2 linked regions of the Macaca fascicularis genome follow. The protein of the gene in region 1 interacts with the protein of each later gene in a pairwise test. Links are inferred from orthologs where the notes say so. Each region holds a gene or a part of one and is shown in the gene's direction. Other genes may lie near its edges. The genes, in order: ZFYVE19 and VPS4B.

The links.
Region 2: the proteins of ZFYVE19 (region 1) and VPS4B interact in binary tests that used the Homo sapiens proteins (3 or more experiments, as listed by UniProt). The two-hybrid records come from large-scale screens. The link is inferred for Macaca fascicularis from reciprocal best matches to the Homo sapiens genes ZFYVE19 and VPS4B.

What each region holds. Positions count from the first base shown.
Region 1 is NC_088381.1:17,348,233-17,358,659, forward strand, and holds the start of ZFYVE19 (abscission/NoCut checkpoint regulator), read left to right. Parts: upstream 1-5,006; 5' UTR 5,007-5,189; coding exon 5,190-5,243; intron 5,244-6,463; coding exon 6,464-6,585; intron 6,586-6,752; coding exon 6,753-6,803; intron 6,804-7,196; coding exon 7,197-7,315; intron 7,316-7,415; coding exon 7,416-7,561; intron 7,562-7,993; coding exon 7,994-8,099; intron 8,100-10,304; coding exon 10,305-10,427. Other genes in the region: DNAJC17 (dnaJ homolog subfamily C member 17), read right to left, coding at 4,734-4,811. UniProt on the Homo sapiens protein: Key regulator of abscission step in cytokinesis: part of the cytokinesis checkpoint, a process required to delay abscission to prevent both premature resolution of intercellular chromosome bridges and accumulation of DNA damage.
Region 2 is NC_088392.1:17,409,615-17,420,041, forward strand, and holds the start of VPS4B (vacuolar protein sorting-associated protein 4B), read left to right. Parts: upstream 1-3,673; 5' UTR 3,674-3,863; coding exon 3,864-3,890; intron 3,891-9,546; exon of another isoform or gene 9,547-10,427.

The sequences.
Region 1 (10,427 bases):
ATTCTAGCTCTGTCACCCAGGCTGGAGTGCAGTGACTTGATCTCAGCTCACTGCAACCTCCGCCTCCCAGGTTCAGGCGATTCTCCTGCCTCAGCCTCCCAGTAGCTGGGACTACAGGCACGTGCCACTGCGTCTGGCTAATTTTTGTATTTTTAGTAGAGATGGGATTTTACCCTGTTGGCCAGGCTGGTCTCAAACTCCTGACCTCAGGTGATGTGCCTGCCTGGGCCTCCCAAAGTGCTGGGATTAGACATAAGCCACTGCGCCTGGCCAATTTTTGGATGTAGTAAGATTTAGACTGCTGTGAAACATCCAAATGGAGGGATTAAACAGGCAGATAGATACATGGATTAGGGATTCAGAGAAGTAGTCTGAACACAAGTTAAATTTGGTAGTGGTGCTCATCACTACCACTGAACCGCGCTGGACAGGGCCAGGGAGCCTTAGTAGACGGAGCAGAGGCCTGAGCTGGGCATCAGGGCATCAGGGTTCTAGTCTCAATTCTGCCACTAACCCACTTCTCTGAGCTGCAGTTTCACCATCAGTAACACAGGGAGCTTGGCCTCCATCAGGGCTTCTTTAACCTTTTTTGAATTAAAATTCTCTCCTCTGGCCAGGTGTGGTACCTCATGCCTATAATCCCAACACTTTTCGGAGGCCAAGGCGGGAGGATTGCTTGAACCCAGGAGTTCAAGACCAACGTGGCCAACATGGTGGAACCCCATCTCTACAAAAATACAAAAATTAGCCGGGCATGGTGGTGCACACCTGTGGTCCCAGTTACTTTTGAGGCTGAGGTGGGAGGATTGCTTGAGGCCAGGAGAAGGAGTTTGCAGTGAGCAGTAATCATGCCACTGACTCCAGCATGGGTAACAGGGAGAGACCCTGCCTCAAAAAAAAAAAAAAAAAAAAAAAGAAAGAAAAAAAAATGTCCCCCTCTCCTCTAGAATAAATACATAAAAAATATCACACATGATTTTCAGAGGTTCCTTCACCCAGTTCCTGGAGACTTTCTGTAGAGGCCAAATTAAGAACTCCCAGGCTATTTGGACAACCAGTTTAGGAGTTCTTCCTTGTATACACTTGAAATATTTGTGTATCCTCTAGGTTGCCCTATGACAGCAACCTAGGTTGGCTATGACAGGTATTAAACCATGGTGAGGGGACACCAGGGCCTAGGTCTCTCTTGTTTTCTACCAAAAAGTGTCTGTTGCCATGAAGTTAGCCAGTGTATCCAAAGTGCAAATGGGAATAAGTGCTAGAAAGGAGAACTGGCTGCTATGAAAAAGAAAAATAGGTAAGGCCTCTTTGAGGGTGCCACCTACTTATGCTCCAAAATAGACTGTACGTATTAATATATACATTTGCTTTCTTAGAATGCCCTGCCTCCACCTCCACATGTCCAAACTCTTCTCATTCTTCAAGGCCCCAAATACCTTCTCTACTTCCTTTATCCCTTCTCTCAAACTAAAAGCAATCTCAGCCTACACTGAACATCCACAGCACTTTGTACCCCTCTTAAGGAACTTACCATGTCTCCCTTGTATGCATGAATCTTGCCTCTCCTACTAAAAGGCAGGAACAGCACCTGTTACGCTTTATAAAGAGGCTTCACACATATCCCTTATCTCATCTGAGTTAGAACTGGATCCCAGTCACTATTGCCCAGCTCAGACCTTGGTCTCTTGCCTAGACACCAGCCCCACCTGACCCCCTAGTGGCAGCTCTTCCATTCCTCCCACCCCCACCCATTTTCATTATGCAGACTAGAGCTGAATTTTCTTTTCTTTCCTTTTTTCTTTTCTTTTTTCGTTTCTTTTTTAAGAGAGGCAGGGTCTCACCCTGTCATCCAGGCTGGAATGCAGTGGCAAAATCATAGCTCACTGCAACTTCCCAGGCTCAAGTGATCCTCCCACCTCAGCCTTCCATGTAGTGAGGACTACAGGCGTGTAACACCCTGCCCAGCTTTTTTTTTGTGTTTTTTATATATATGGAGAGACAGAGTCTCACTATGTTTCCCAGGCTGGTCTCAAACTCCTGACCTCAAGCATTCCTTCCACCTTGGCCTCCCAAAGTGCTGGAATTGCAGGTGTGAGCCATCACATTCAGCTGAATACTTTCTTTAAAATCCAATTATGGGCAGGGCACAGTGGCTCACACGTGCAATCCCAGCACTCTGGGAGACCAAGGCAGGAGGATCACTTGAGCCCAGGAGTTTGAGACCAGCCTGGGCAATACAGCTGGACCCCATCTCTGGGAGAAAAAAAAAAAAAAAAACACACACACACACACACCACACACAAAACAAATTAGCCAGGCATGATGATGCACACCTGCAGTCCCAGCTACATGGGAGGCTGAGGTGGGTTGACTTGAGCCCAGGAAGCCGAGGCTGCAGCGAGCTGTGATTGTGCCACTGCATTCCAGCCTGAATGAGAGAGATCTTTTCTCAAAAACTAGAATTGAAAAAAAAGAAAATCTGATTATGTAACTTCTCTAATTAATAGAGAATGGCTTCCAACTGACTTCCTCAGGAGTTCTCAAGTTCAGGGTTAGAAACTCTAGATTTCAGCTGGGCGCGGTAGCTCATGCCTGTAATCCCAGCACTTTGGGAGGCCAAGGCTGGTGGATCACTTGAGGTCAGGAGTTCAAGACCAGCCTGGCCAACAGGGTGAAACCCTGTCTCTGATAAAAACACAAAAATTAGCTGGGCGTGGTGGCACATGCCCGTAATCCCAGCTGCTCAGGAGGCTGAGGCAGGAGAATTCCTTGAACCTGGGAGGCAGAGGTTGCAGTGAGCCAAGATTGCATCACTGCACTCCAGCCTGGGCAACAGAGTGAGACTCCATCTCAAAAAAAAAAAAAAAAAAACCCCAAAACTCCAGATTTCCCACTCGGATCTTGGATGAAATGTCTCAAATAATTTCCCACTAGTAATAAAGTACTAATTAAATAATATACAGGCAGGGCATGGTGGCTCTCACCTGTAATCCCAGCACTTTGGGAGGCTGAGGTGGGAAGATCACGGAAAAAAAAAAAAAAAATTAGCCAGGCGTGCTGGTGCATGCCTATAGTCCCAGCTACTCGGGAGGCTGAGGCAGGAGAATCACTTGAACCTAGGAGGCAGAAGTTGCAATTAGCTGAGATTGCGCCACTGCACTCCAGCTCTGGGCGACAGAGCAAGACTCCGTCTCAAAAAATAATAATAAATAAAGAATTTTAAAAATAATAATTTGCAAACGGAGAGCACTTAGAATACAATCCAGGAAAAAAAAATACTGTCTAGGACATAGTAAGCATTATACAGGTGTTAGGAATTATTAATCCTAAAATATTAAAACATGAGAGAGGTGGAGCAGATGCTTTTGATGCTTCATAGACATGCCATGGCCACTTCTGATTTCAACTGCGGCTGCAGGGGACAGATTTGTGCAGGTTGACAGCATCTCTCAGGGACCCTCTGGGTCTCCCTGATTTTCTGCCCCAGAGCTTCCTCTTCTCAAAAGCTCACTCATCCCATGAGCAGGGCAGCTCAGAAGTACAGGGACAATAGTGGGCACTAATTTTCTTTTTTCCTTTTTTTTTTTTTTTTTAATTTGAGACGGAGTCTCGCTCTGTCACCCAGGCCGGAGTGCAGTGGCACAATCTTGGCTCACTGCAACCTCCACCTCCCGGGTTCCAGCGATTCTCTTGCCTCAGCCCCCCGAGTAGCTGAGGCTATTGGTGCGTGCCACCACGCCTGGCTAGTTTTTGTATTTTTAATAGAGACGGGCTTTCACCATATTGGCCAGGCTGGTCTCGAACTCCTGACCTCGTGATCCGCCCGCCTCGGCCTCCCAAAGTGCGGGGATTAGAAGTGTGAGCCACCGCACCCGGCCTAATGGGCACTAATTTTACTTTTTTTTTTTTTTTTTTTTTTTGAGACGGAGTCTTGCTTTGCCGCCCAGGATGGAGTGCAGTGGCGCGATCTCGGCTCAGTTGGGCACTAATTTTCATTTGATGAACGCCTCTCCCTATATTGTTAAAACTACCACCATGATCCAGGGGGAGATAACAGAAATCCTAAATCCAGCTTGATCAGTGTTTCACTCCCTGGCATCTTTTATCAACACCTAAGGTAGCATGGAACTCTAGGCCGTCTGCCTTAACTTTCTGATCCTCCTGCTTTTAGCCCACTAACGAGCACATGCTGAGAAGGGCATCAGCTACCTGAAAAGAATCAATGGGCTAGAGTGGAAAAGAAAATAGAGACAGCAGGGTCATCGGTCACATTGGCAAGGGGGCATGAAAAGGGAGTGGAGAGGCCTTGAGATCTGACTTTTCTTTCGCCCTAGGCTCTAAGTGGAGGAATTAAATCAGCCTGCAGAAGAGACTGAAACGAGGCACCTCTTGTCACAGCCAAGGCAGAAGCGGAAACGGACGCCGAGACTGCGCAAGCGCAGAGGAGGCTAGCGTTCCCTCGCAGCCTCACCCCGCGGCCTCTAGCAGACAGAGGCCACAGGGAGAGCACAGCCACCCGGCGCGAAGAGCCCTCTGTTCCCCGCTTCCTCTTGAGGCCCTCGGACCGTCCAGGAAATGTCTGGGAGCCCGCTGCGGAGGGCATAGGGCCGACCCTCGCTCCCCGCCCAGGACCCGAATGAACCTGGAGAGCGGATACCAGCCGCGGCCCTGGCGCTAGGACACGAAGGGCCGCCAGACCTCTCAGGATCAGCCTTCCTCGCCACCATTCTCACCTCTTTGTCCGCTGCCTTCTCCTCAATGCCTAGCAGCGCGTACAGGTCCATCTGTAAGAGCTCCTTGGTCACTGCCATGGTTCTGGCCTGACGGATTCGTACTACAACTCCCAAGAGTCTAAGCGCGCGTGGGGACTGCCGGCTCCGAGTGGCGCCTAGCCCTCTGGGAATTGTGTTCTGGGTCAGGCTTGACTGACTCTGAGGGAGGCTGGCAGTCGTGAATGAACTACGACTCCCAGCAGCCCCCGTTGCCGCCGCTGCCGTAGGCTGGCTGCAGGGGAGCGTGCGGATTCCCCGCTGTAGGTCGCGGCCGGACAGTGCCAGTGGGCGTGTGGGGCGGGGCAGGGCGTGGCAGGGCAGGGAAGGGAAGGGCGGAGCTGGGGTGAGGGTACAAGGGGCCTAGGACTTGGGCGGCGTGACTTCAACTCTGCAGATCCTGCGGTGCTGGGAGCCACCATGGAGAGTAGGTGCTACGGCTGCGCTGTCAAGTTCACCCTCTTCAAGAAGGAGGCGAGTCTTCCCTCCCCGAAAGCTGCAGGGCCAGGGAGGAGAGGAGGGAAAAGCGCGGGACTTAACGTCCAAAACTTGGTCTTACGGCCCCTTTCCAGCTATGTAGTTTTGATGAAGTCATTGATCCTCAGTTTCCATTTCTGTAAAATGGGACTAACATTCCCTCGCTTTCTGAGTTTATGTGAGGGTCCACTGAAGTGCTTTAGGTTGAGAGTTCCCTATAAACTGTAAAGCGCGCTGCCGTCATTTTTGCAACGCTACTCTTTTCTGTCGGCCCAGTGTAGCATCTGGCGGTTTTTTTCTCTCCACCCTGCCCCTCTGAAGCACGGTGTCTATCACACCAAGCCCGTTACTCTCTCCGCTCTGAACCTTCCCCATCCCGCAGCCCGCCCTTCTCCAGGTCGCTCGAGTTCGGTTACCACACTTCCTCCTGATTCAGGGGCACCATGGTGAAGGGTAGCTGTCCTGTCCTTATCACAGACCTGCCAGATTCCTCTAGTAAACTGCAGGCCCCCTCTGCCTCAGTTGTGGCTAGGGATTCTGACCAGGAGATGCTGGGAACCAGATGGAGTAAATTAGTATCATGTAGGAAGGCAGGACTGTGTAGCGTTTACCAACCTGGATTTTGGAGTCAGGGTTCAAATCTGAGATCTGCTGTCTTACTGAGGGGGTGACCTTGGTTTGGGTAAAAGGACCTCTGTTCCTCTTGAAACAAGTATAATCACGGTTGGCATCAAGATTAAGTAAAATAATGTGTGTAAATTGTGAGGAATAAATCACATGATGAATGTTAAGTACTGGGTTTAGTGCCTGGTACATAGTAAGTGCTTAATAAATGGAGGCTATTGTTAGCCCATCCTGAGCAAGAGCAGAGGAGGCATGGGCTCTGCTCAGTCTCTGATTCTCCTGTGTGGAAGAGTCAGTGGCCTGAAATACTGGGTTTTATCTATCTGCCTTCTACACCCCTGGGTCAGGGAATTGAAGACAGGGTAGAAAGCCTGGGAATTTTGTATAAACCTTCATTTGGCTTGAATAAGATGCTGGAAACCGAGGAATTGCTTTACTCTCCACCCCTAGGCCTTAGGGGCCCCACTCCTCTTCCTCCTCCCAGCAGCTGGCCATGACTTCAGTGACTTCTCTGTGTGTGAGATTGGAGAGTCCCTGGGAGCAGCCTGTAGGGGCAGGTGAGAGGTGGATCTCCTGTTTCATGTTTCTTGTAGTATGGCTGTAAGAATTGTGGCAGGGCCTTCTGTTCAGGCTGCCTAAGCTTCAGTGCAGCAGTGCCTCGGACTGGGAACACCCAACAGAAAGTCTGCAAGCAATGCCACGAGGTCCTGACCAGGTGAGAGGCAGGCATGGGTGAAAGTTCAGTCAAGTATGGCAGTGGGCATCTGGCCAGCCCTCACAGCTTTGTACTCTATGGCGAGAGTCAGCCGAGGAAGTGTTTGGAGTGGGGGGCACTACCTGGTGGGATGGCAGGACTTATAACACTAGATTTCTTCTCTGTAGAGGATCTTCTGCCAATGCCTCCAAGTGGTCACCACCTCAGAACTATAAGAAGTAAGTGCTGAAGAGAAAAAGACAAAGAGGGTTGGGGAAAGGCTAAGGGAGCCATAGGGAAAGACCCTCCCCGAATCTTCTAGATGGAATGAGCACAGAATCAGGAGAATGCTCTCCTCTCCAGCTCCTCACTGCCCTCTTGGGCTTGTAAAGCAGCTCTTCAGCCCTCTCTCCAGGACAGGCACTAGGTATAGCTTGTCCTTTCAGCTAGACCCTCTGGCTGGTCAGCCAGGTTGGGCTGCAGGGTGGCATGAGTGAGGGGCACAGCAGATTGCCCACTGGAGGCCTCCCTAGGTGCCCAGAAATGATTCGATTTGAATGGGAAACAGTGAGTGGGTGCCTTCACTCTTCCCCTCTGCCTTCTTCAAGAGCCTCTGTCTCATATCCTGCCAGGCGTGTGGCAGCCTTGGAAGCCAGGCAGAAGCCCAGCACTTCCCAGAGCCAGGGACTGACCCGACAAGACCAGATGATTGCTGAGCGCCTAGCACGACTCCGCCAGGAGAACAAGCCCAGTGAGCGGGGGCAGATGGGGTTGCCTAGAGGACACAGTCCAGGGCTTCTGGGACTGAGATGCCTCTGGCCCTTACAAGGCTCCCTCCGTGCCAATTGCAGAGTTAGTCCCCTCACAGGAAGAGATAGAGGCACGACTGGCTGCGCTAAAGGATGAACGTCAGGGCTCCATCCCTTCCACCCGGGAAATGGAGGCACGGCTTGCGGCGTTGCAGGGCAGAGTTCTACCTTCTCAAACCCCCCAGCCGGTGAGTGTTGTGGCTTAGGAGAGAAGCGGGAGTGCTAGGGGGAGGACCCAGCAGATGCCCAGACACAGGTATTGGGGTGGTACAAAAGTAATTGCAGTTTTTGTCATTACTTTTAATTGCAAAAACCTCAGTTACTTTTGCACCAACCTTTGTATTTTATGTACTTTGCAGGAGTTGGCAAAGCCTCCCACCCCTACCTCCTGATCCTCAGGCCTGCTACCAGACCCGGGGACCAGGGACAAACAGCACAATTGGGTAGGGCAGGAAAAAGTGGCCCCTCAGTCCTGTTGGGGACTGCCAGACCTACTTGATTATGTGGGCCGTGGATCCTTCTCCTTTCCCTGGGCTTTGAGAACTCCTTAGCATCCATCCCTGACCTAGACTGCTTCTGGGCTACCCCTGCTCTCCACTGAGGTTTCCTCGTCTGGACAGGCACATCACACACCAGACAACAGGACCCAAGCCCAGCAGACACAGGATCTGCTAACGCAGCTGGCAGCTGAGGTGGCTATCGACAGCTGGAAAGGAGGAGACCCAGGTAACCCCTCCATTTGGCTCCCTAGGAATCTGCCCCACCTCTTTCCCCAGACTGGAGAGGCTCTGCTGTCCACCCTCTGGGAGATGAATGTAAATCAGAGAGTGATCAACATTGTAAGAGTTACGATTCATTGAGTGCTTACTCCAAAGGGAGCCAGTGTAAGTCTAGTGTTTAAGTGCACGGGCTTTAGAATCAGACAGTGATTCCCAGTTCTATCACGTATTAGCTGTGTGATGCTGGACAAGTTACTTGACCTAAGTCTCACTTTCCTCATGTGTAAAATGAAGATATGTATGGAAAAACCTACCTCAGGGAAATCACGAGGAGTAAATGAGATAATCCACTAAGTACTTGGGATGGTATCTGACTCATAGTGAGTACTCAGTGAATATTCTCTGCAATCATGATGTTGATAAGGAGGAAGAAGCTATTTAGTAGCACCAGCCACATCTCAATGCTCAGTAGCCACATGGGCTTCATGGCTGCCATCATGGGCAGCACAGATATAGAACATGATATGGAATGTTTCTGTCATCATAGAACATTCTGTTGGACAGTGCTGTTTGAAGGCTTCAGAGCAGTGTTTTTCTTTTTTTTTTTTTTTTTTTTTTTTTGAGACGGAATCTCGCTCTGTCACCCAGGCTGGAGTGCAGTGGCCGGATCTCAGCTCACTGCAAGCTCCGCCTCCCGGGTTCACACCATTCTCCTGCCTCAGCCTCTGGAGTAGCTGGGACTACGGGCGCCCGCCACCTCACCCGGCTGGTTTTTTGTATTTTTTAGGAGAGACGGGGTTTCACCGTGTTAGCCAGGATGGTCTTGATCTCCTGACCTCGTGATCCGCCCATCTCAGCCTCCCAAAGTGCTGGGATTACAGGCTTGAGCCCAGCCAGAGCAGTGTTTTTCAACAAAGGATGATTTTGGCCCCCAGGCTACTTGTGGCAACGTTTAGAGACTTTTTGGTTGTCACAACTCAGGATATTACTGGCACCTAGAGGATAGAAGCCAGGGATGCTACTAAATCTTCTGTGTCACAGGACAGCACATCACAATGAAAAATTACCCAGTCCAAAGTGTCAAGAGAACTAACATTGAGAAATCCTGCTTTAGAGGCACAATCTCATTGAATAGCCTTGATAATCTTAGGAGGCCAGGTGTGGTGGCTCATGCCTGTAATCCTAAACACCTAAGGAGGCAGAGGCAGGAGGGAGGATAGCTTGAACCTGGGAGTTTAAGACTTGCCAGGGCAACATAGCAAGACCCTGTTTTAAAAAAAAAAAAAATAAGGTATATACTGTTCTTTTTTATAAATGAGGAAACAGGCCTGGTGAGCTTGAGGAACTTGACCAAGGTCACACAGACATTAAGCTGCAGAGATGAGACTTAAACCTAAGCTGTAATTTTAAACCTCTTGCTCTGAAACACTAAACTGAAGGTGACTGTGTCAGAGCCACACCTAATCTGGTAAAATTCTTCCTGCCCAGTGATATACAAGGTCTTGGCTTCATTGCCCTCTCTGTGCTGATCCCAGGAAATGGTAATTCCTGCCCTGAAAGGCAAAGAGAGTGACTGAACCTTGGCCTCATCATGTCTTGTTCCTTTAGGGCAGTAATTCTCAAACCATAGGACACCCACCCTTAGGACAGACTGTCAAAATATCAGGTAGATGGGGATGGATCTGGTTGGAAAAGACATGGCTAAGATTACTAGTTTTTTACATTTGGGAAAATGGAGGAATACTGATTTTATTTGTAATAGAAACCATAGTCTCTAGTGCTGAGCAAAAAGCTGATGATCTGTGATTAGAAAGGGTTGAGAAAGGCCGGGCGTGATGACTCACGCCTGTAATCCCAGCACTTTGGGAGGCCGAGGTGGGTGGATCACAAGGTCAGGAGTTGGATACCAACATGTTGAAACCCCATCTTTACTAAAAATACAAAAATGAGCTGGGCATGGGGGCAGGTGCCTGTAATCCCAGCTACTCGGGAGGCTGAGGCAGGAGAATTGCTTGAATCCGGGAGGCGGAGGTTGCAGTGAGCTGAGATCGCACCACTACACTCCAGCCTGGGTGACACAGCGAGACTCCGCCTCAAAAAAAAAAAAAAGAAAATTATTTAAGAGCAAGAAAGCATTGAGAAATGGGCTCACTGGCTTCTGAGGAGAGATCTTGGGAAGTCTCTGCCTCTCTGATGGCATTACCCCTTCCAGCTGCCTCTCTCCAGAATGACCTCAACCAGGGTGGCCCAGGGAGCACTAATTCCAAGAAGCAGGCCAGCTGGTCCTTGGAGGCGGAGAAGAGCAGACTGCTGGCTGAGGCAGCACTTGAGTTGC
Region 2 (10,427 bases), on another chromosome or scaffold:
TCCTGCCTCTATCCTAGCACTTGTCATTCGGGAGTCAGAAGACCTGGGTCAAACTCCAGCTCCACCATATAAAAGCTGAATGAATTGGGGGGCATTTCTACTGATACCTCTCAGGCTGTTCCCTTTTTTTTCTTTATTTTTTTTGAGATAGAGTCTTGCTCTCTCGCCAGGCTGGAGTGCAGTGGCGCGATCTTAGCTCACTGCAACCTCCGCCTCCTGAGTTCAAGTGATTCTCATGCCTCAGCCTCCCGAGTAGTTGGGATTATAGGCACGTGCCACCACACCCAGCTAGTTTTTGTATTTTTAGTAGAGACGGGGTTTCACCACGTTGGCCAGGATGGTCTCAATCTCCTGACCTCGTGATCTGCCCGTCTCAGCCTCCCAAAGTGCTGGAATTACAGGTGTGAGCCACAGCGCCTGGCCTGTTTCCTCTTTTGTAAAAATGGGAGATTTAAGATTTACCTTGTAGTATACAGTAAGATAATGTATGCAAAAGTACTCTGTAAACTCTTACACATGTAACATTTTTACATTTACATTTTAAATATGTAAACGGTTAAAAGTTTCTACTCCACTAAAATGTAAAGTCCCAGGGAACGGGAATTTTAAAATGAAAAATTTTCGTTTTAAAGTAATACTTACAGGCTGGGTGTGGTGGTTCCCACCTGTAATCCCAGCATATTGGGTGGCTGAGGCAGGCAGATCACTTGAGGACAGGAGTTTGAGACCAGTCTGGACAACACGGCAAAACCCCATCTCTACAAAAATACAAAAATTCGCCAGGCATGGTGGCACACGCCTCTCATCCTAACTACTCGGGAGGCTGAGGAAGGAGAATCATTATGGGAGGTGGAGGATGCAGTGAGCCGAGATTGCACCACTGCACTCCGGCCTGGGTGACAGAGCGAGACTTTGTCTCAAAATAAGTAAACAAATAAAATTAAAAATAAACTTTTACAGAATAGGTGCAAAGGTATACAGAGAATTCCCATGTATTCTTCACCCAACTTCCCCTACTGTTAACATCTTAAATAACCATAGTACATTTATCAACACTAAGAAATTTACATTTATAAATTACTATTAGCTAAGCTGCAGACTTTATTCTCATTCTTACAACAGTTTTTCAACTCCTGGCCCTTTTCTGTTTCAGGATCCAATGCAGAATCCCATACTGCATTTAGTTGTCATCTTCTTAGTCTCTTCAATCTGTGACAGTTCCTCAGTCTTTCCTCGTCTTTTATGACCTTGACATTTTTGAGGAGCACTGGTCATTTTGTAGAGGTAGAAAAACCCTCCATATGAATTTTTCTGATGTTTTCTCATGATTAGATTGAGGTTACAGGTTTGGGAACCATACCACAGAGGTAATGTGCCCTTCTCCACATCAGGGGTTCCATCATAACAACATGGCTTATTACTGGTGATAAAAGAGGGTTTTTTGTTTGTTTTTACCGATTCTCTCTCTGTTGCCCAGGCTGGAGTGCAGTGGTGTGATCTTGGCTCACTGCAACCTCTGCCTCCTGGGTTCAAGTGATTTTTCTACTTCAGCCTCCCAAGTACCTGGAATTACAGGCAGGCACCATCGCGCCTGGATAATTTTTTTTTGTTTGTTTTGAGACAGAGTCTCACTCTGTAGCCCAGCCTGAAGTACTGTGGTGCAATCTCAGCTCACTGCAACCTCTGCCTCCTGGGTCCTGGTTCAACCAATTCTCTTGCCTCAGCCTCCCGAGTAGCTGGATTACAGGAATGCACCACCATGCCCAGGTAATTTTTGTATTTTTAGTAGTGACGAGGTTTCACCATGTTGGCCAGGCTGGTCTTCATATCCTGACCTCAGGTGGTCACCCACCTCGGCTTCCCAAAGTGCTAGGATTACAGGCGTGAGTCACCGCGCCCGGCCTAATTTTTGTACTTTTAGTAGACATGGAGTTTCACCATGTTGGCCAGGCTGGTCTCCAACTCCTGACCTCAAGTGATCCACCCACCTCGACCTCCCAAAGTGCTGGGATTACAGTCTTGAGCCACCGCACCTGGCCCATCTTTGCTTAAATTATAAACTTAGTTTCTCCCACAGTTAGTGCAGCCTATGCCCAGGAATGTAGAAGGACATCTTGGAGGTTAGAAGCAAGATGGAGTTGGTTAAGTTAGATCTCTTTCACTGTCTCAGTCACCATTTTGCAAAGGCAATTTCACAAGTAGGGAGAAAGGACTGGTAGATGCAGGGCAGAGACAGGGCTCTGAGCTTTGAGCCTGGATGATACAGATTTGGCAATACTATTCTAAGGAGAGACCAGAGAAAGAAGTTTAGGGTAGAAGGTAATTAATTTGAGTATGTTGAATTTGTCTTGCAGAAAAACCCTGTGAAGGAAACCTCTGGGAGGCTGTTGTAAATGCTGGGCAGGGGATGCGATGGGTCTAGAAATCCAGATTTGAAGCGACTTCTAGTCTATTGATAGCTGAAGCTCAAGAAGAGAATAAGATGAGCAGAGGTGGAGAAGAAAGAGAGAAGAGGACATCAGACTCTTGAGAAAATTCAGCTTAAGCTCAGGAAGGAGTAAGAAAGGGAGACAGTGAAGGAGGTAGAAAAGGAACATTAGGAAGCCGGACAAATAAGAACGGGGTAGTTGACAATACCAATGAAGAGGGAGGAGAAGAAGACTTTAATTCTTTCGGAGATGCCAGATTAGAAAAAATTAAGGAATGAGTGAGAAAAAAATGATGGAGTGATTAAACATCTACGTTGCTTTCCTTTGAGAAGGTTAATTATGAAAAGAAGAAAACGGTGGTGGTGGCTGCAAACCATAGGAAGGCTAAGAAAGGGTTTTACCTTGGTTCTGCCTCTAATCCCTGACGCATTTAACCTCAAGCCATTTGCCTGTAAACATAACCGGCATAATGCCCATTTTACAGGACAAGTGCTTCCCTCTTAGAACATATACTCGAGGACAGCGGCCGTCCACGCCTTATTTACGTTCATCTTCCCAACACAACAGTCATTTGGAAGATGCCGAGTGGCGTGGGAAGAACAAGCAGGAACGAGCGCCGACCCGCCCGCGGCCTGACTGCTAGCGCATCGCTGCGCGGCCGCCTCACCGCGCACTCCCTCCTGAATTATTCACCACCGAGACGAGGACTGTGATCGCCCCCATTCCACAGAGGACACGCAGTGAGGGAGGCGCAGTCACAGGCCCAAAGCCCCCAGTCGGCGGGTCTTGGAAATGGATGAGTTTTTCACTCAAACGCTGCGAGGCAACAAGGCACGTGGATGAGGAGGGAAGGGAGCCAGGACCAATAATTCGTCTCAAAGTAAAAGACGTCCCTGGGGGTGGGGAAAAAACAAACAAACAACAACAACAACAACAACAAAAAAAAAAAACAGAAAAAAAAAAAACCACAACCGGCTCTGTGCTTCCGCGCTTGCGCTATCCTAGGTCCGCCAGGCTGCCGCCCCGCCCCTAGGCCAGAGTTTCAGTGCGCCTGCGCCGAGCCCGACTTCCGCCAGGGCTCGTTTGGGTTCCAGGCTACTTCTCCCGGCCTAGGGAGGGCCTGCGCTGTGGCGAGAGAAGGGAGTCTGGTGACTGGGTGCGCGCGTGCTGATGACGAAATCGGAAGTGCCCGGAGCAGAGGCGGGACCAGAACCTAGAGGGGCTCGGGATTGCGGAAGTTTGGTGGGGAGGGTCCGATTGCTAGTGGAGAGAGTGTTGTCTGAAAACAAGTTCCGGAAGGGAGGCTGCTGCTCGCGGTCCGAGAACCACCGGACTCCCCAGTTTGGGGGCTGTTACCCCGGGCGCGGTTGGACGTCGCTGCCGTTGGCTCTTCTCGCCCCTCGTTCCCCTTGGGAACCGCCTGGGAACTCCGCCATGTCATCCACTTCGCCCAACCTCCAGGTATCATTGCTCATCTCCCGTTCCCCTAGGGAGCTGGGACCCAGGGGAGGCGCGAGAAGCGGGTGGGGGGCGGGGAGAAGGGAGGAAGCGGCCGCGCCTGTGGTCGGGAAGGAGGAGGGCGGGTCCGGGGACCTGCCGCAGGTGGGAGAGGGGCCCGTTTTCCAGCGGAAAGGTCTTTTCTGACCCGGTCTTGGGGTCTCCCGAGCCACTGACTTTGTGATACTGCTCCCTTTTGTTGGGTCTTCACGTCCCCAAACCAGCCAAGATCTGGGCAGATCTCTCCAATCAGGGTTAAGGGAGAAAGAACGTAATTTTTGCAAAGCCCTGTTCTAGACCAGTTGAAAATAGAGTGATCATAGTTCGGTCTTAGTTTCTCAAGCTGACAGCAGATGCCTTTATTCTGAGCTGTCAGATGAGTAGAAATATGGGAACAGACTAAGAATCTGAAATTACAGCCAGGCTACATACAGTCTGCGTGAAGTCATTGAATTTATGTGCAGTCTCCTGTGGCCCCCAGATTGTAGTGTGTAAGATCGAGGACTATTCTTAAACTTCTGTGTGGCTCCAGTTCCCCTCTTCTACCGCAATGAGCACAGTGTTTTGTACACAAATCATGGAATCTTAAGATTTTAGGCTTAATCGTTAGTCTTCTGTGGAATAGAATTCTTTCAGAAAAGAAATTCATGTAATGGTGTCTCCTATCCCCAGAATGGATCTAGGGCTTCAGTGGAGTTTAGAATGTAATGTGGCTTAATGTAGAGGACTCCCAGTCCAGTAAGTCAATAAGGGAAGAAAGTAGCCTAAAATACTTGTATTGAATCCCCGTCTTGGACTTCCGGTAGGTTGTTGAACAAGCATTTCAACTTTTATTGGAGTGCCTGATAGAGGCATCAAAGGTAATGGAAGAACTCCTTAGTCCGTGATAATTGATTCTGAAGAAAGACCACTCAAAGTAGACCCACTTAAACAGAGATTAAAATTTCACGCACGCATACACAAAAAGAGTGGGAAAGGAGGCTTGCTTGGGACTTTTGTCTTGAAAATCGACCTAGAAGATTATAAAAAAAAATTTTTTAATCTTTCACAAAATAATTATATAATTGCAGCAATGACTCATTTTGTAGAATAAGTCAAGTGTTGATTTGTCTGTGTCTTTTTCTTTTCTTTCTTTTTTTTTTTTTTGAAACGGAGTCTTGCTCTGTCGCCCAGGCTGGAGTGCAGTGGCTCGATCTCAGCTCACTACAACCTGCATCTCCCGGGTTCAAGCGATTCTCCTGCCTCAGCCTCCCGAGTAGCTGGGACTACAGTTGCCCACCACAACTCCTGGCTAATTTTTGTATTTTTAGTAGAGATGAGATTTCACCACGTTGATCCAGGCTGGCCTCCTGACCTCAGGTGATCCGCCCACCTCAGCCTCCCAGAGTGCTGGGATTACAGGCGTGAGCCACCACCCCCGGCCGACTGTATCTTTTTCACCAAGGTTGTGTTAAACTAAGATTCAGCAATCTTCACGTGAGGTTTTTGTAGCTTTTTGTAGTCCTATTTGGAAAGGTTCTTTTCGGTAAACGTATTTGGAAAAAGCGTTGGTCATTTGATAAAAGTGTTTTTCCCTTGAGTATTAAAGGTGACCCTTCTGAAGTGCCCATCTTGTCATCGTTGGCTTTTTAACAATTTTTATTTCACCAACTTTTCATTTGTCAGAGACTTCGCATGCGATTTCGATACTCTACAACATAATCTTCATCATTTGCAGGTTTTTTTTGTTGTTGTTTTGAGATAGTCTTGCTCTGTTGCCCAGACTGGAGTGCAGCAGCATGATCTTGGCTGACTGCAACCTCCACCTCCCAGGTTCAAGTGATTCTCGTGCCTCAGCCTCCCAAGTAGCTAGGATTACAGGCACCTACCACCACGCCCGGCTAATTTTTTTCTATATTTAGTAGAGACAGCGTTTCATCATGTTGGCCAGGCTGGTCTTGAACTCCTGACCTCAAGTGATCCACCCGCCTTAGCCTCCCAAAGTGCTGAGATTACAGGTGTGAGCCACCGTGCCCAGCCCCGGAATGCATCATATTTGAATTGGACTGTTGGCTCTTCTTCAGTGCGTCAGCCAGAGACTGACCAACATGAAAGGCATAATTGTTACTGTTAAGCCGGAGGGATCTTGAATTGTGATTTTGTTAGTGGTAGGTTCACATGTGTGCTTTCTCATTCAACCTTTTCAGCCTTCTAACCTAGGAAATTTGGATTAATATCCATGTGATGGTTAACTTCGTGCTGAGCAAGGCAAAACTCCCTGTGGCCAGATGCTTATAATCTAATGAGGGAATGCAGATAACTAAAAATCAAGATTATGTAATAATGTAACAAAGCTACACAGTAGTCTCCACTTCTCTGTGGTTTTACTTTCCACAGTTTCAATAACCCACAGTTAACCTGGGTCCAAAAATTTTAAATGAAATATTCCAGAATAAATAGTTTATAATTTTGAAACACTGTGTCACAATGCCTGTGTCATTCACTTCACTTCGTGTCATCACGTAGGCATTTTATTATTTCACATAATCACAAGAAGGTTGAGAACAGTACAATAAGATGCTGAGAGAGATAAACCACATTCACATAACTTTTATTACAGTATATTGTACTGGGCAAGGAGGCAAAGTCTGTCTGATGGGAGGCGGTGAGGGACCAAATTAGGAGAGTATCCATTCAAATAAAGTGAAAAGGATTGATCAGAGGAGAAAAATTAAAGATGGAGAAGAGTCAAGCTTGTATCTGCATTTTTTTTTTCTTTTTTTTTTTTTTTTTTTTGAGACGGAGTCTCACTCTATTGCCCAGGCAGGAGTGCAGTGGCATGATCTCGGCTTATGGTAACCTCCATCTCCTGGGTTCAAGCTGTTCTGCCTCAGTGCCCCCAAGTAGCAACTGGGATTACAGGGATGCACCACCACACCCAGCTAATTTTTGTATTTTTAGTAGAGACGGGGTTTCGCTATGTTGGCCAGGTGGGTCTCCAACTGCTGAACTCAGGTGATCCCCCCACCTCGGCCTCCCAAAGTTCTGAAATTACAGGCGTGAGCCACCGCTCCTGGCTGTATCTGCGTTTTGAAAGGGAGGAGGAATAGTCTGGGTTTTCTCCCAGATTTCGGGGTTGGGTATCTGAGTAGGTAGGGATTGGTTCTGGGAATACAAAAGGAGAGATATTTGGGGCCAGGGCAAGGGAGCAAAATAATTTGGTTCTAAACTTGTTGAGTTTTAGTTGCTTGTGGAGACAATCAAATGGAAATGTTGGTGAATATTTGCATATGCATGTGTAGAACTAGGGAGAGTGAACTAGGCTGGAAATAAGGATTTAGGAATTATTAGCATACAGGTGGCAGTAGAGGTTGTAGGCATACAGAGTCACATCCTGGAGAGTATACAGAGTAAGCCAAAACAAAGACCAAGGTAGAAATTCTATGGATTAGCGACATTTAAGGAGAGAGAAACGGGAGCCTGGAAAAGAATTGTTAATCAAAAGTAAAACCAGGCCAGGTGCGGTAGCTCACATCTGTAATCCCAGCATTTTGGGAGGCCAAGGCAGGCGGATCGCTTGAGCTCTGGACTTCGAGACCAGTCTGGGCAACGTGGTGAAACCCCCTCTCTACAAAAATTAGCTGAGTGTGGTGGTGCATGCCTATAGTCCCAGCTACTCCAGAGGCTGAGGTGGGAGGATGGCTCGAGCCCAGGAAGTGGAGGTTAAAGTGAGCTGTGATCACACCCCTGTACTCCAGCCTGGGTGACACAGTGAGACCCTGTCTTAAAAAAAAAAAAAAAAAAAAAAAAAAAAGGACTAAAACCTAGAAGAAAATGATGTCATGACAGCCAAGCAAGGAGACACTGTCAGGGTACTTGTTGTGTGTGTGAAGTGCTGCGAAGAGGGAGTGAGATAAGCATAAGATTTGGCTGTCAGGAGGCAGAAAGCATTGCTGTGTGAGAAATAGCAGATCGGGAAACTGGGATGAGTGTGGGTATTCGGGATTTTGATGTGGAGGCAAAGAGTTGAGTGAGATGTAGATAGGGGAACCGAGGAGCTGAGGAGAGATGGTGTGTAGTTTGTGTTCTGCAGAAGTGAGTCTGAGATAGGACAACACATTTTTCTGCTGAGGGAAAAAAGGAAAGATTGGAGAGAACAGTTGATAGACATGTCATTGATGGAGTAAAGGTCAGCGGAGGAAGGTGGGGATCAGCTCCACAGCAGAGCAGAAAGAATTGGTCTCGACAGACAGGGCCTGGGACACCTTTTCTCCTGAGGCAGGTAATTGTAGAATTTACCCCATTTCTCAGGGTTTTCTAAGGTGGATGTGTCTGGGTCTCCTAAGTGGAAAAGGACAATTCCACATGTTCCCAACCTTTATACTTCCATATTGATAACTGGATCCTGAGTGATCCTGGGGTGATACATCATTCAGTCTTGTGTCAGCCACTGTAATAGACTCTGGGAATATAAAGAAGTGAAGACAACAGATATAACTGCTGTTCTCCTAGAGCTTACATTCTAACCGGGAGAGAGAGGCCAATAAATGAAAAGAAAAACAAAAAAACTTTGTGCGTGCTCTGAAACACACACGCACGCGCACACACACACACAAAGATCATCAGCCTTAGGTCACTGCAAACCACGTAGGGTGGTGAGTCCCAGCCCACACCTGATGAATATACTTCATTGTCACATACGAGAGGGAGAATCAATGAAGGAGACTGAGAAGGAGCACCAGAGCGGTGGGAGGAAAACCAGCCAAGTGGTCGTAGGGGACTCAGCAGAGGACAGTGTCCAAGAAGGAGGAAATAATCAACTTTCAATGTCAGAAGATCGAGAAGACAGAGCTGGTGTTTGGATCTAGCATACTAGAGAGCCTTCATAGGAGCCGTTTTACTATGTGATAACGGAAAGAGAATAGAGGCCACTCTGGTGAGATTTTTGACTCTAAAAGGTAGCAGAGAAACAGAACTAACACTGAACAGTATTTTGTTATCAAATAAGACTTTTTAAAGGAGGGCTGTTTGTACGTTGATGGAAATATCTAGTGGAGAGAAATGTTAAGAATGACAGAAGTGAAGTAATTAAAAGGAAGAAGATACTGAAAAAGGAGTAGGGGAATTTTTTTGTCATTCGTTAAACAATTTTGAGTACCCGTTGTATGCCAGCACCATTCTAGGCGTGGGAAGCTCAAGGTGAAGTCCTGTCCTCATGGAGCCTACCTCCCTAAAGGAGACAGCCAGTGGGTGAGTGTACAGGTAAATATAATGACAGTAATAGGATGAGAGAGTGCAGCGGGGGCAGATAGCAGAGAGCAGGGATGAGGTACAGCCTTTTCTATAGCAAATTAGGGAGGGCCTCTCTGAGGACTTGCCATCTGAACTAGGACTGAAAAGGAGACATCATGCATCTATCTGGGGAAAGGAAGGAAGAACATTCTAGGTGGAGGGCTCCAACTGCTCAGGCTGCCTGAGTGCAGGAGGATTCTAGGGTTCAGAGGAGAACCACATGTAGCTAGGGCCCAGGTTATTTCAGACCTTTTAGGTCAGCTCTAGCATCAGGATTTTATTCTTTTCAATGGGAAGCCATCGAAGGTTGCCTTGTATGTTTTCAGGTAGCAAGGGTGGGAACAAACTGACCACTCACGAGGCTGGATAGTAGTTTTGACATATATGATAGCAGATAGAACTAGGGTGTTAGCAAGGGAGAGGGTGGAGGATTATATTCAGAAAGAAAATGAGCTCTGGCTGAAGAGGGAAGATAAGGTTTGATGGACCAGAGCAGATAGAGCTGGAAGAGGGGAAGACAGGCAGCAGACTCTGCCAGTATTATCTGTCTGAGACTGAAGAACTGAAGAACTCCAGTCAGTTGTGAATGATAAGAGCCAATACCTCCAGAGGCTGCAGGCAGAAAGGAATGAACTAAATGCAAAAGTTCACCTATTGCAGGAGGAGCTGCAGCTGCTGCTGGAACAGGGCTCCTGTATGAGGGAAGTAGTCCGGGCCATGGATATGGAGAAAATGTTAGTCAAGGTATATCCCAAGGGCAAGTTTGTCTTAGGTGTGGACAGAAACAGCGACATCAATGACATGAGACCCAATTGCCAGGTGGCGCTCAGAAATGATAGCTACACACTGCACAACATCATACCCAACAAAGTAGACCCACTGGTGTCACCAGTGATGGTGGAGAAGGTGCCAGCCTTGATTTAAGAGATGATTGGTGGACTGGACAAGCAGATTAAAGACATCAGAGAAGTGATCGAACTGCCTGTTAAGCATCCCAAGCTCTTTGAAGCACTGGGTATCGCACAACCCAAGGTGGTCCTGCTGTGTGGACCTCTAGGCACTGGGAAGACACTGTTTGCCTGGGTCATGGCTCATCATATAGACTGTACTTTTGTTCATATCCCTGGCTCTGAATTGGTACAGAAATTCATCAGGGAAGGGCCAAGAATGGTGAGGGAGCTGTCTGTCATGGCATGAGGACCCGCCATCTATCATCAGCTCCATCAACTC